Lytechinus pictus: one gene and its partner. The protein of the gene in region 1 interacts with the protein of each later gene in a biochemical or structural test. Links are inferred from orthologs where the notes say so. Each region holds a gene or a part of one and is shown in the gene's direction. Other genes may lie near its edges.

Region 1 (7,532 bases):
TGGCTCTTAAGTATATTTTATTCTTTAAATTATTTTTTTCTTAATTAAAAATAGAGATTGAAAAATAAAAAATTTCTTGCCATATTACTTTCAACCAATAGAGGGCGTACACAAAAATATGCCCCAAATTCAATTTTTTGAGTGCTCTGGTGAATACAAAAATTATTCCTAAGTTACTAATGAAAAATAAATTGCAACTGTATGGAAATTAGTAATTTTGGTCACAAAAGTGATATTTTAATGATTTTTAAAGTGTGTGCTCTGTACAGCATTGGCATACCATAGTTAGGCACGGCCGTAGTCACTAGATGGCGCTGTCGCGGAAGTGCTCCAGGGGGGTGAAACTCCGCTTCTGCATCCGGTCAGAATTGAAGAAAATTTTGGAGGGTCAAAAGTGCACACTGCTCCCATTTTTCGTATACAAGCCTATGGACACCGCCACTGTTTTGGTACACCAGCGAAATGAAGGCGTGGTCACGGAACGTCCTTCGCGCATAGCGTAAAAATATGTAAATTAGTATTTTGTCACTAATTAGCATAATGCGCGACCTGATTAATAATCGTTTATGGTGTCTGTCAGTGATTACATCATGTCAGATCATTCGTTTTTTTCCTCCTCAGAGTTTTATTATTCATCTATTTTAATGATCTATTTGTTATTGCTTGTTACGATTATTACTGCATCTTTGCTTTGTTTTAGCTGCAAATGGCCAGGATCTTTGCTAAAAAATATTACAGAGGAGGTTCCCAAAGAAAATGTTGCCATATACGATGACATCTCTTTAAGTTTCTGGAGCCCTTTTTTCTTTTTATTGCAGAAAACGAAATGAACCTCTTTTCATAATATAAACAAAGATAATAACAAATCAAATTCTTTTCCATAATTGTAGTCTCCAATATAAGTCCTATTATGAATAGCAGTCCTCGGAGCACTTGATTTTAAATGGCGACTTCTATGTCAAACATCAATAATAATGACCTAGGTATATACCATATTTTAGGGGGGAGGGGGTTCTCAAAATTAAATAGGCAAGAGAGCAAACCGATCGTAGGCTATTTCTTTTTTATTTTCAACTGAAAATGAATCTGGTGTAATTTTCATTTGGAAAGAAAAAATACATTTTATATGCAGGTTTCAAAAATTTGGAGAAATAATTTGCCCCCCCCCCCCGTCATGAACAGTAAGGTCTTATGGTTGCTTCTTTCAAAACAAACTGAACTTTCACCCCCCCCCCCATCTCTCTCTCTTTCTGTCTGTCTCTCTCTCAGAAACTGACATAACTATATGCATACAAGCAAATAATCTCCTGTCATTTTACTTTCTTTCCCACTCTTATCCTTATTTTTCTTGAATAATATTTTAATTGACTGCTGTTTGATCTCATGTAACAGTGGTTCATTTCACATTTCAGTACAGTGCAACATCTTGTGCCATTTGTGCATAACAGCTCAGAAGCAATACATTATCACAATTAATTGATAAATGAAAATTACCAAGATAAAAAAATTCAATTCAAAATTAACATGTTTATTAAGGAATCCATTTTCTAAAACATTGACATTAACATAAAAATAATAATTAGCATCTACCAAGCATTAAATTGTATTTTAAAAAATGAAGGCAATGCATAGCTAAAAAGGGCTGTTACTGGGTAAGGGTAGTATGGGGTGGGTATATAAATGTACAAAAATAGGATTAAGTACATTTTTCTACATTGTACAATGTTTGTTAAAATTTCATTCAAAGGATCTCGATGAGCCTATAGTTAATATTCCATAAAAGAGCATAAAAACCTTTGATATTCGTTTATTTTCTTCCACAAAAGTTTATCACTAAAAAAAAATGGTAAATTCCTTTCAAATTTGCTGACAAGAAATAGTCTTCTGATGTGAGAGCACTCCTCATAAGGGGGGGGGGGGGGTGGGACACAATGCCAGAATCCTAAAGAGTGCCTTCCCCAATCAATACATTAGCGAATCATTAACAAAATTTGATTTGTCTACTGTCACTGTGCTTAGAATTCAATCTATTTTTGAAATATAGTCTATTTATATATTATTGCAGTGGTAGCCCATTTCACATTTTTTTAAAATGAAGATAACAATAAATGCAACTTAATAACCCTACATAATTTATGAAGACTTGCAGTGGCGTACCGTGGGTCACGGCATCGGGGGGGCACCAGCAAAAATTTTGAGACCGTTTCATATCTCTTCTTGGCACTTATGTTGTGATACCAGTACTTAAACAGCTTAGGAAGTGGGAAACCTGCATGGTAAAAAAGAGAAAAGAACATAATAAGCTGTAAATTATTTTTACTCATCTAGTCCAGTTTAGTAAAAAAAAGATGTAAACTCTATTTTATATCTTCAGTGATAAAACAAGTTTAGCACATGCAGTCACTTTCGTCCCACATCCAGATAAATTCATATATCAATATAACTATCTACAGTATGTTTTGAAAATAAAAAGTGAAAATTAATTCAAATATTTATCAGAATTTTGTGATAACTGTTAATATCTTGGGTTTTTTATGCAAATGCATGTATAGACAGGAGATATGGATAATTAGTATGCAGTGTTAGAAATGGAAATACTGGTGAATCTGAATTCAAACAAATATTAACTCACAATGGAACTTTAACATTACATGATATCGCATCATGTTTCAGCACAATTGGCCATAGCCCACCCCCTCCCAAAAAAGGGGAAATATTCATTTTTTTTTTTTTTTGGGGGGGGGGTGATGAGCTTAGATACAGCCTGTATATTATCAAAACAGTAAGCATACCTTGCAATTTTTCCATTCAGATATCCTGTTCCTCATTAGATTGTAACTAACACTTGCTGATCGGCATGGTTCTCAATTTTGTACTTCTGACTAGGTGTGAACTGCTAAGAACTTGGTCCCACTGGATCTGCAATTGACAATTTAAATTTGAGAGTTTTAGAGATAATAAAATTACTCTTCTTAAACAATATTTTTGAAATTTCCAGCTGCCCATATCCCAGGTCTATGAATGAATATTCCAAACTAGAACAAAAAAGTTATCTGGACCCGAAACTTCATTCTCTATCACATAGAGGCATAGGCCTACCTCACTCTGTTTATAAAAGTAAAATGATTCCAACCACATATTTCTACAGCTGTATATAGCTGAATCTGGTCTATGCTGGGCCTGTATAACTTAAGAATCACATCACATTTGAATGAAGTAAACACTAAGAACGTTTTCAAATTACCACCCCAGGCCGGACCCAGGGTATCCTGTTCAAATAGACTTGATTTAGGTCTAGGGTAGGCTACGCCATTTCATTCAAATCTAAGACTAAGACAAGTAACACTTATAACATAACAGACATTAATGCTAAGTCAATCGTATTTCAACACTGATTATTCTGAAGTAAAGCGTTCCTGAATAAAAGAAACTGCTGAGAATTATACTTATTCATATGAAGATGAAATAGAGGGGACGGACTAGGCCTAAACTTCAACTTTCAAGCTTGAAGTTTGGGCCTAGTCCGTCCCCGCTATTTTCATACCCCATGACTACATCGACAATCTCGCTCGGCTAGCACCGGCGATATCAAAGGCCGGATCCCGCTCTGACCATATCCCTACATTGACCTAAATTTGAATAGGCCTAAAATCGACAGTTTGTCGTTACTAAAAAACAGGAGGTCGGAAACAAGTCCACATCTACCCCTGATAATTGTCTAATCACAATAAAACTGAAATAAAGGTTTACTTTGGACCTACATGAAGCATTCCGATGAATGTCTAGATCTACGACAAACTATAGACCCCTAGACCCTAGTCCTAGATATAGTATTTTTGAGAAACTCAATGATCACACTTATTTGGAAGTCAGGCAAAAGAAATATTGAAATTGAGGTTTACATACGGTAGTGCGTAATACAGGATGAGCCCCGAACCCCGGCAAACACATTACAATTTGCAAGTGAGATCAAAACATGAAAATGAGCGTAACTTACTTTTATTCCTATGGAATGTCATTAGAATAGTATTGATGTTCCCTCCAAGATTTTCCGCTCCAATGAAGTTCACTCAGAAACCATGATTTCGAACATCAATTCTATAAACAGATAATTAGTCTAGCTATTTCGTTTCAGAAACTTCAAATTCGCAGAGTCCAAAAGAACGACACTTCGCACAGATATCGTAGGGAATTGTGGGACGGAAAAAAATGTTTAATGCATGAGTACATGAATAAAACATTAGCGTTTAATCCAATCATACAAGTGCATTATGCGTATTTTGACGTCATTCTCATGAATAAAACATTGACCCTCCAAAATCATCCTTCAAATTGTCCGCCGGCAGCCATGTTGGCTATGTACAAAACCTATGGGAAATAAAAACGCGCGGAAAGAGTTCCCTCTCTAGCTCCCTTCGGGAGCTTATACGTAAGATCGTATCTCTGTGAAGTGCTCAAAATTTGTACGCAAGCTTCGTTCGCATGTCAATCATTGCAATCGCATAGCGATGCGATATCGTCAAAATTAAGCCCCTGTTAGCGCGGATGTGTATGATATTTTCTCTTTGTGATTGTCCTCCCGTGCGATGAAAAATATGTCATCGTATTGCACAGGACTTTCGCGAGCTACCGATACCATTTTCGTGCCCCAAATTCCATGAAATCTTCCGAAAATAAACATGAAAGTGTCGGTAAGTCGAAAATGTCTTGAGTTGCTTTCAATTCTTACCTTATTTAGTTGTATTTCTTGTAAAATGGGTCTCGAAGGGTTCCGGATTTTCCGTTGATTGTGAAACTTGAGTTGATTTCCTTTCTGTGTATTGCAGTGAAATTGCAGCGCGGGGAATCGCAAGGGCTGGGGAAGCCCTTCTCAGTGAGGTTTGCAAGCTGAGCTGTCCTTGAATTTGGTCGAATTTCGAGCCATTTTAATCGCGCGCGGGATGATTAATTTACATCATAATAGAGATTAAGATTACGTCACGTACGTGCGTACCTGTGATAGACACAGAAATGAAATTGAACTTGAATCACACGGAATCACAGTCAAGAAATGCTTTGTTTTCTTCGTTTGCTGAATGATTTCCTGAATTTAAAATCATGAATAAACACCAGAGTAATGACATGAATAAGATAATCATGGTCATATTTGAGAAATAACTAAATATTTTCTGAAAACGAGTGAAGACGATGGGGTATTGATGTGCATGCACTGGAAAATGAACATTCACTGTCAGTGTCAGTGCCGTGGTGTCAGTGTTTTACTGCCAATACTGGCTTTACTTTTGCACTGGTTTTTCTTTTGCCAACTACCGGTACTAGATTAAAAACTCATTTATTGATATGTTTATTGCAATTTTTGAATAAATGGTAATACAAAGTGGGAAAAAAAAGATAAATGAAGATAAAAATAATTTTGACTAAAAACTTGTCATGCCATCACCCCCCCCCCTAAAAAAAATACCCACTATCTTGAATGACTCAGGTAATTTAATTTGTATTGAAAAAAATAAACAATTGTATTTATGCATTTTATATTTCTGATTCTTTCTGCCAGAATACCAGATGCCATCATGAATAACCTCACCACCAGGTTGAACTCCTAAACATCTTGATGATGACTATCTCCCGAGATATATCTTGCCTTCTTGAGATTGGAAGTTTTAAGTTCAAGTCAGAGCGACCTAAGGCCCTACTACCAAGAAGAATCCAGATTTACATTTAAAAAAATCCCACGAAAGATACAAACTGATTTTACTATTAATGTGTAGTGTGTGTGTGAGACACTGTTTGTGTTTATTTTGATGAGGATCTCCTGTCTCTTTTTATTATTTCATTGACTGAATGAATGATCAATACCTAAAAGTGAGAACTGATTTTTGAGGAGAGTAGATAAGTGTATGGTTTTGAGTGAATTTGAGTAACTTTTGTTTTTACCGGTACCGGTATTTTTTTCATCATTATTATTATTTTGCCTTTTATTACATATTTTCAGTTTATTTAACATTAAGTTTAAGTAACCAAACTTGATCAAAGTGTTCAATTTTTGGGATAGAATTTTGTAATTTCATTTATCAGGTAATAAAACTGAGTTTGGTAAATCTAAAAAAGGACACTAAAAATATGAACACTTGGAGATGCTCACTAAGATGAGGAAAAAACATGAAAGGAACTGGAACTTAAGTGGATGTTATAGCATGCCTTTTGAAGATCTCCAAGCACCTGGAATCATAGGCGGTGGAAGTGGGGGGGGGGGGACGTATCCCACTAAATTTTAGGTGGGGAGGGGACGACCCCCCCCCTCAATTTTTTGTTGATAACCTTTTTTTTTTTTTTTTTTTTTTTGGCTTGTCAATTTTCACTTGTTTCCTGTGTCCCCCCCCCCTAAGATTTTTGGTCACTATTTTTTTTTTTTTTTGTCAAAAAGTTTTGGCGGTTCCCCCCTAAAATTTTTGGCTTCCGCCGCCAATGCCAGGAATGATGATGTTCAACTGAGAGTCGCTGAAGTGGAACTTGTTGCAGAGAATGATTATTCCAGGACAAGTTAGATGATATTACCCAGCCCATACATCACAACAATGGAAGGGAGACAATATACCCCTGTACTACGTGAAGTATCATATTATCTTCAGGTTGGTTTGGAAAGTAATAATAGTCCTCTAGTCAATATTAACGTCTGTCCAACATAATGGTACTATCGAGCAATTTGGGGGTTCAATCACAAACAGCAAAAGTTTAGTAAATTGACACTAGTAAGATAATTAAACAAATATAATACAGCCAAACTGTCTGACCCCTTACTTGACTACTGACTTAACTACTTATTAAAAAATGACAAGTGATGCTCAGGCCCTTTGTAACCATTGTATTGGGCAGACTTTGAAGCAGATGACTAGAATTCATACTTTCATGAAGATGAAGGAAGATCAAAAGAATTATTACAATTTAGCAAATATGAAATTAGAACACTGTCATGGTTATAAAAAATAATGAATTTCTATCCAGTAAAATGACAATACAATGTAAGAAATAAGTGCAATCAAGTAATTTCATTTGCAAAAGATATTTTCCATAATTTAATAACCAAATTTCTCAAGATAATATTCTTCTGCACAGAAGTGTATGACACGCTCAGTGTAAATCATGCTGTTTATAAATCTCTAGGAAACCTTTTTTTTCAAAATGAAAATACATGTAAACTTAATAAAAACCAGGGGTGGATCCAGGATTTATCCTGGGGGGGGGGGCCACATTTTCATGATGAAAATTTGTCAAGCAAAAAAAGGGCCTTGCTTTCCGGGGGGGGGGGGGGGGGGCATACTTTGGTGAAAATGGCATATTTTCATTACAAATCTCGACTGAGGCTCTCTAAGGGGGGGGGGGGGTGAGCCAGATGTGCCCTCCCCCAGATCCACCAGTGATAAAAATCAACATTTGTGAAAGATGGCATACGTACCTTATACTGAATTGGTAAATTCAATGCATATGTCTACAAAATGAAACTGACATGTTTGAATAAATTGCTTATTTTTGTT
Region 2 (7,523 bases), on another chromosome or scaffold:
CCGGCGACTTGAATCTAGACTGTTCGATAGGAAAAATTCGCATATCGATCGTTGTTTGCATAATTTCCACCGCAGTATTAAGGATCGGATGGAGTAACTGGCTGAGATTTGGAGGTAAGCGTTTAAAATCCATTTCTATAGATAAGTTCGTGCTGATTTTTAAAATTAGATTACATTATAAATAATATAAGATTAAGATGACTAAATTTAGTAATAGTATATTGTGAAGATTTAGGCGTGTTTCATATTCTCACATTCGTGTGATGAACGAAAACGTCAAAATTCATTATGAAATGACATGCGTTGTGCGAGGTTAGTATACTAACCTCGCATGCTTGTGTGAGTGCGTTTTAGGGGCCTAAGACTAAGAGTAAGACTAAGTCTGAGACATGTTAATTGTTATTGTCATGATTGTTAAACCATAACATAATTTATAGGCTACCTTGCAAGATCAACCTGATTTTACTGACATGATTTCAATTTTTTTAGTAGATATGAAGCATTTATTTATGTTTTGATGATATAGAATTGATAAAATCTTTCTATTTTGAGGAAAAAAATAAAACTACCACAAATAAAAAAATGTCATTGTCAATCATTTGTAATTGTAATTGTAGTGTACCGTAGGCCTACATGTTTCCAGTGGAACTGGAAGTGATTTATATCAATGATTTAGAAAAAATCATAGAGATTAAAATCACGATTTCAATAATGATTTAAATCAACGTGATTTGAATCAGCCCATCCTGATGATGTTGAAATCTTGAGACATATTTTAGTCGGAATCGGAACGGCAACACCGTGCGCATTTTTGACCAACATAATTTGCAATGATGTGGGACTCACAGGAAAAAGCGGTGGCGGCTGAGCAGTGGGAGGTGGCAATGATTCTCCTCCTCTTCCTAATCCAAGGGCATCAGCAGCAAACGACGACCCTCGACCACGCCCGCGACCTCGACCTCTTCCAGCCATAATGAAGTAGCACTGGTTTGTTGTTTTAAAAGGAACTTAAACTTAAAACAATAAATAAGTTCTTCCTCTAACCCACTTGAAAGTATGGTGTCTTTAAAAATAAAATTGGTATTAACTTGAATTGAATTTAAATAAATGTGACTAGAGCTATAAGGGGATGGAAATATATATTTTGGCAATTTTATGAAATAATAAATAAAATCAGAATGATACGTTGAGATATTGCTTAATATTACACGTATGTGTGAAAATGAGCTATATGGACATGTTTGGTATAAATCTAGAACTACTCCCACCCCATCCGTGATCCTGATGATGATGATGATGGTGATGATGATGATGATGATGGCGATGATGACGATGATGATAATAATAATAATGATAATAATTATAATAAATGAATAGATAAATAAATAAAGATGATAACAATTTAATGATGATGAGGATAATAAGCAAACAAACATGTAAATGAATGGAATCGATGAATAGATAAAAATCCAATTGCTATACGTAGAGACAAGCTTAATTTTACTTTTATTTTATAGACAGGTATAATTGCCCCTTATTAATAAAAAAAAATCCCATTGCTATACGTAGACAAGCTTATAATTTGACTTTTATTTTATAGACTAGCTGCCCCGGCCTTTATTCCAAACCAATTAACTCCTTCTGTATATCCTTATAAAATTATTTCGGTACTTTTCTCTGCTGTGTGTATCGATTGTGAGGGTCTGTGAATAGTTCCAGTGTGTATACCGTCAAGCCAGTGGAGTGGCACCCTCCGGGTAAAAAAAAATGGAGCCTATATACACCCTACACCCGACAACACCCTAGCTCTCTTATTTCTCTCGTATACTGGTAACCTATAGCGTTCTGTGTCAGGCTTTTATTATTTCTGTGCTTTTGTTTTGTTTTTACTAGGGTTTTTACCTCCTGCGCTTAGTGTAGTACCTCATCCATACCAGACCCCTCTATATATATACATCATGATCCCGCCCTCTATCCTACTCCCTTCCTTTTTATAATAGCTTTCACCACTTTCACCACCACAAATATATTGCAGTACATGACAAAAAACTTATTTAAGGGAACAATCCCTTCAAACTGTTCATGTGACAACTCACTGTCGGTTGACGCGCAGCAGCTTTTTCAGTAAAAGAGTGATCCAATAATCTTGGAATAGTTTGCCTGCAACACTATGTCCTCCAGTATTAACTCATTTAAACACGGATTAGATTCTTTTTGGTCATGCATTACATTTGAAATTGTCTTACATCCACGCCCGCACTGTACTTAATTGTTAGACTTTTAATTATGCATCAAGCGTTTACGACCGGGAGATCTACAGGGCTATATACCTACCCTCCCGTACAGATGATGATGATGATTAAAGGGGTGTTTTTTAGTTTTGGACGCGGGCCGCGTGTACATGCACTCATTAAAAAAACACCGCGATAAAAAAAAAAAAAAAAAACGGTGGTTTATATGGTCACTGGTCAATCACAGGGTCAAACGTACAGGGTATGTTTTTTTTTATAAACTATATAGCCATACGTGTTTAGGGTACGTATTTTTGCCCCCAAGCTTTTTTGCGACAACAATACATGTATATAGGGGCCAAAATAACTTTGCCCGCGAAAAACTTGTTATGGTGATTATTTGCACACAGAAAAAAACTCATTTAGGAGGTGTTTGGAAATAATTTAGTTACCCATGTGTACAGCAGTACATTTCAGGGGCCGCGGAAAGGTTTTCAAAGTGGGGGGGGGGGGGCTGATGACCATGCAAAAAGTCCCATTATATCGAGGTTTTTTACCTGACTACTAAGAAAGCACGAATGCCTGTGAGCAAGCAACCAGGGGACCGACAGCTTAAGGTCCTCTCCGAGGGACATGGTAATGAGGATAAATTCCTTACCTTCTCAGTTCAAAACAATTTGGATTTGTATCAGGACGATCAACAATGTTACAATTACTCAATGTGTTAAATGATTGGACGAATATGTTGGAGGTTGGTGGTGCAGTTGATGTCATCTACCTAGATTTCATGAAAGCCTTTGATAAGGTCCCACGTACACCAGAGACTTTTAGCCAAAATTGAGGGATTTGGCATATCTATAGCTCATATGTAAGTGGGTCAGAGGTCTTTTCTTGTTGGTCGACAGCACCGAGTTTGTGTGAATGGTGTGTTCTCTGACTGGGCTGATGTAACCAGCGGAATACAGCAAGGGAGTGTCCTCGGACCCCTGCTTTTTGTAATGTACATTAATGATTTACCGGATCAGATTTCGTCAAGTACTGTTAGTTTATTTGCAGATGACACCAAGTTATACAAGCATGCATGTTAATAATGACAGAGATGCTGAGTTATTACAAGCGGACTTAGATCGTCTTGTGTCATGGTCAGACAAGTGGCTATTAAAGTTCCACCCGGATAAATGTTGTGTACTTACTATTGGTACAAAGAATGATGAATTCAATGAATATACTATGACACATGATAATGCTTCACATAATCTATCACAAGTTGAAACTAGTAAAGATTTAGGAGTGATTGTCGACACAAAGCTTAGTTTTGACCAGCACTTTCAGTCAAAGATAAATAAAGCCAATAGGCTTATGAATCTAATTAGGAGAACATTTGTTTATTATCTTCACAAGGAGAACCTCCTACTCCTATACAAAGCATTGATTAGACCTCACTTGGAGTATGCTCATGCAGTATGGAGTCCATACTTAAAGAAACATATTCAAGCAATAGAAAATGTACAAAGAAGGGCCACTAAGTTGGTACCTGAAGTAAAGAACCTTCCATATGAACAAAGATTGATTCAACTAAAACTTCCTACATTAGCATATCGCCGTGCGCGAGGAGATATGATCGAAACATACAAGTTATTTCACAGGTATGACCAAGAGGTAGTGCCAGATTTGGGCCAGGTGCATGGGCCTACCAGAGGTCATGATAAGAAATTGTACATTCCGAGGTCAGTAACTGAGAAACGTAAGAATTCTTTTTACATAAGAATGAGGAAACCTTGGAATAGCCTAAGTAATGAATTACTAATGCACCCAGTGTCCACAGCTTCGAGAATGGACTGGATAAGTATTGGAAATGTGAACCTGTGAAGTACAAGTTTGACGCTGACCCACCAGGACATGCCGGCCAACCTAAAGAGGAGACAGAATTTGGAACTGAATATAGAGTCTTAGACTGCGTTCAGAAGCATCCATAAGTATCCATATAAGTAAGTAAGTAAGTAAAGCCAAGGGCACTAGCACAATCATATGGTCGTCATTTTTACGTTTTTGTACACGGTTTTTGAAAAAAGAGGGGGGGGGGGGGCTGAAGCCCCCCAGCCCCCCGCTTCCGCGGCCCCTGTATTTTGACTGCCCCCGGGAGTTTTGCCAATGATTTACCGTATTCGGCGTTGGTAATCGACTATGAGATTTAAAAAAAAGATTTAAAAAATCATGTGATAGCAAAGACACCATACCCAGTGGCATTGCGTGAAGACTGAAGCTCTGTAAAATTTACTTTTTGCGTGAGTTATTGACGAGTCCTGATCACTGTACATCTATTTTTGTGTGGTAAGATAGCCGGATATGAACTAATTTGAGTAGTTCTTTTTAAATAATAAACCATATGGGAGTTTACTATAGGAAATTATTCACTCTTTCCATTCTATCCAGTTACTGCGAAGTTAACATCGCATCCCTCAAACAGCCGGTGATTTCGATCGTGTGCTATCCGAACACATGTATCAAGGAATCGTGATATCATCCATTTCTTTGTGTGCGTAATATATTGCACGTGTTGCCGATAGTTGTGGTGTCCCCTGTGCACTCATTCGAATGAGGTCTCGTGTTTTGAAGGATGTCGCCTGCGCCTGTTTGACATCTAATGTTAGACAGACTAGTAGTGTTGTAACCCGCACCCGTTGCGGTACGGGTTAACCTGCCGGTATGCACCCCATCGCGGATTGCGGGCCGGGCCGAGTTCATTCTCAAACCCGCAGACCGTCATACGAAAAAAAGGGAGAAGTAACGACGCATAATAAAAACATTAACAATGAAAATTGAATTAGGATCATGTGCTTCTTACGTAGCGGATTCTTTTAGAGACGTAGATATTTCCTTTTTTAAAAATGCCGGCGTATTTTTGTCCTGTGAACAGTGAACAGGACTGAGACAGTTCGACATAATATTAATAAAATACATCGAGTTGCTCTTTCAAAGGAGCGCCAGTGCAGTGCAGCGCAGTCAGAGAAAGGAATGTTTTACGACTGGCAGAGGGGGAGAGAGATAGAGAGAGAGGGGAGGGGATGTGTTCGGAGAATGTGAACAGAAGCCAGAATACATTGCGTAATCATGTCTGGCAAGGAGCGAGTGATAGGCCACGTGGCAGAGAAAGAAATGCTTTATGACTTGGAGTGGGGCGAGTCGAGCCTGTTTCCACGGCAACGCTCGCTGTTTGAGCTCGAGGGATTTGCGGTGCACGGCAGTGAGACAGTTGTTTGCTTATTGGATTACCAAATTAGGTCATGACCTGATAGAGCGTGCCGTCAGGTCAGAGTGTTAGCTGCCCTTTTTTGAAGACACGCTAAGCTGGTCTAGTCTAACCCTCCTTTTCGTTATTTCATACATTTTCTGATGAAAACTGAAGCCCCCGCACTCTTAATTTTTCCGATGTACAATTGATTGAAAGTCTTTAAGATTTCTGAAGATGTAAAATGGGATTGCAATGGATTGCAAGTTTCTTGCAAATACCTCTCTCTTGACCGATCGATCGAGAGAGATAAAAAATAAAAAATAAATAAAAGCCTAGCTAAGCTAGCTAAGCACTAGTAACACGAGCTGTTTACGTAAGTTCATGGGCGCCCTCGTGCACGTTTGTATTTAGTACAAAGAATTGGAAGAAATACAAAAACAGAAGGAAATAATATATATACAAGAAGAAAAAATTACTGTATCATTATCCTGGTATTTATTTCAATTTTGATTACTTTATAGACGAGGTCCCATAGAATTGAATATTGTAATTATGATTGTTGTGAGTCGCCGTGTCGACCGACCTGGACTGAAAAACAACATTGCCGATCTTTGCTGGGCAGCCTGGGCTAGCTAGCGCGCGCTGAGCTGCGGCTCCAATCAGAGGAGTTAATTGCGTAATGCTTTCAATTTCGAGATCAGAGCGGACCCATTTCGTGGTACAAAGTCACCCCAAAAAACATTTTCTCTCCGGAATTAAAGGCGAATTTGCAAATTGTAAGTAAATTCACTCTAGGCTAGGTTAGTAGTTGGCATATATTTTCCTGATTTGAGCCTGTATAGTGTAGGGATTGCAGAAATAATATATTTTTCAAAGATAAATTGACTTGCGGGTTAAAACCCGACGGGTCAGCGGGTCCCGCTTGCAAATTATTGGATTATACGGGACGGTACGCTTCTGGTTTTCACTTGCGGGTTACAACATTAAGACAGACACCTACTGTCCTTACTGATCCTAGTTATGATTCTGTTTGTTTATGAGAATAGAAACTTCCACAATTTATTCGAAAGAGTTCCATATGCACCCCCCCACCAAATTACAAAAGAGTTGATATAAATGATAGGGTGTTTGAAGCCACACCGAAAAGTGTCAGCATAAAACAGGCTGATTTAGGGGAAAATATGGCACATTTTTTCGGGAAGTTCAGGCTGCTAGAAAAATGTGATCTGAATTGATTATTAACATGTGTTTGGCATGTATGGAAAGAGAAAATTCAGGGGCTTCTTTTGACAGTAAGGACATCGACAAGTTTATATGATCATTTTAAATAAGGATTTATAGATAAATTGCAAACCCTTAGGCCTAACTTAGGCTTATTTGTGTGTGTGTTGAGATTGCCATTTCCCCATGCGTTTTCTACAGGAAAATGAAACGTCTGTTCTGCACAATTTAGTTCACTTTGTCGCAATTTTTCATTGTAATCTGGTTTCCAAATCTTTATAAAAATGATACCATCCATCAGAAAGAGCATAAAAAATCATATTGGGCTCTTTATGGACAAGTTTTTGGCATTAATGATAAATTCATAACAGTTCTCGGAAGCTAAAAATTTGGAATTGTGTGTGTCCATTTCTTAACTACACAGTCTATGGCAGAGAAATGCTGAAAATTGACCTAATTTCATTCTTTTTTGCAGCCAATAATTGATTTTTTTTTCAAAAATGTTACATTTCTGTCAGTCTGAACTCTGAAGGTCATTTCTCTTCAAATTCACAAAGAAAATGTGATATTTTCTTGAAATAAGAAAAATAATTTTTTTCTCCAGACACCCAATTGTTGTTACTTCCGGTTCGCTCAGATTTTTCTATCATTTTTTTTTTACTGTTGCTTACCTTAGTTGGGACTCGAACTCACCTGGTTTTTATCTGCAGTCTAGACTCTTCCCGCAATGCTAGCGAGAAGCGCTGGAAGGGGTATTTTAACGATTATCAGCGCAGCGGATAGTTCGACTAGTCTAGACTCACAGACCCTTTACTGACTAAATAAACCGATGTCTATGG

The links. The genes of interacting proteins can lie anywhere in the genome.
Region 2: the proteins of prolyl hydroxylase EGLN3-like (region 1) and peptidyl-prolyl cis-trans isomerase FKBP8-like form a complex in vitro, tested with the Homo sapiens proteins (2 studies listed by BioGRID, with this or other methods). The link is inferred for Lytechinus pictus from reciprocal best matches to the Homo sapiens genes EGLN1 and FKBP8.

The regions. Positions count from the first base shown.
Region 1 is NC_087251.1:25,490,742-25,498,273, forward strand, and holds the start of prolyl hydroxylase EGLN3-like, read left to right. Parts: upstream 1-4,466; 5' UTR 4,467-4,691; intron 4,692-5,205; exon of another isoform or gene 5,206-5,554; 5' UTR 5,555-5,590; exon of another isoform or gene 5,591-5,862; intron 5,863-6,424; 5' UTR 6,425-7,532. UniProt on the Homo sapiens protein: Cellular oxygen sensor that catalyzes, under normoxic conditions, the post-translational formation of 4-hydroxyproline in hypoxia-inducible factor (HIF) alpha proteins.
Region 2 is NC_087249.1:25,195,731-25,203,253, forward strand, and holds the start of peptidyl-prolyl cis-trans isomerase FKBP8-like, read left to right. Parts: upstream 1-4,432; 5' UTR 4,433-4,562; intron 4,563-4,646; coding exon of another isoform or gene 4,647-4,655; exon of another isoform or gene 4,656-4,670; intron 4,671-7,523. Other genes in the region: DNA-directed RNA polymerase III subunit RPC7-like, read right to left, coding at 847-972. UniProt on the Homo sapiens protein: Constitutively inactive PPiase, which becomes active when bound to calmodulin and calcium. Seems to act as a chaperone for BCL2, targets it to the mitochondria and modulates its phosphorylation state.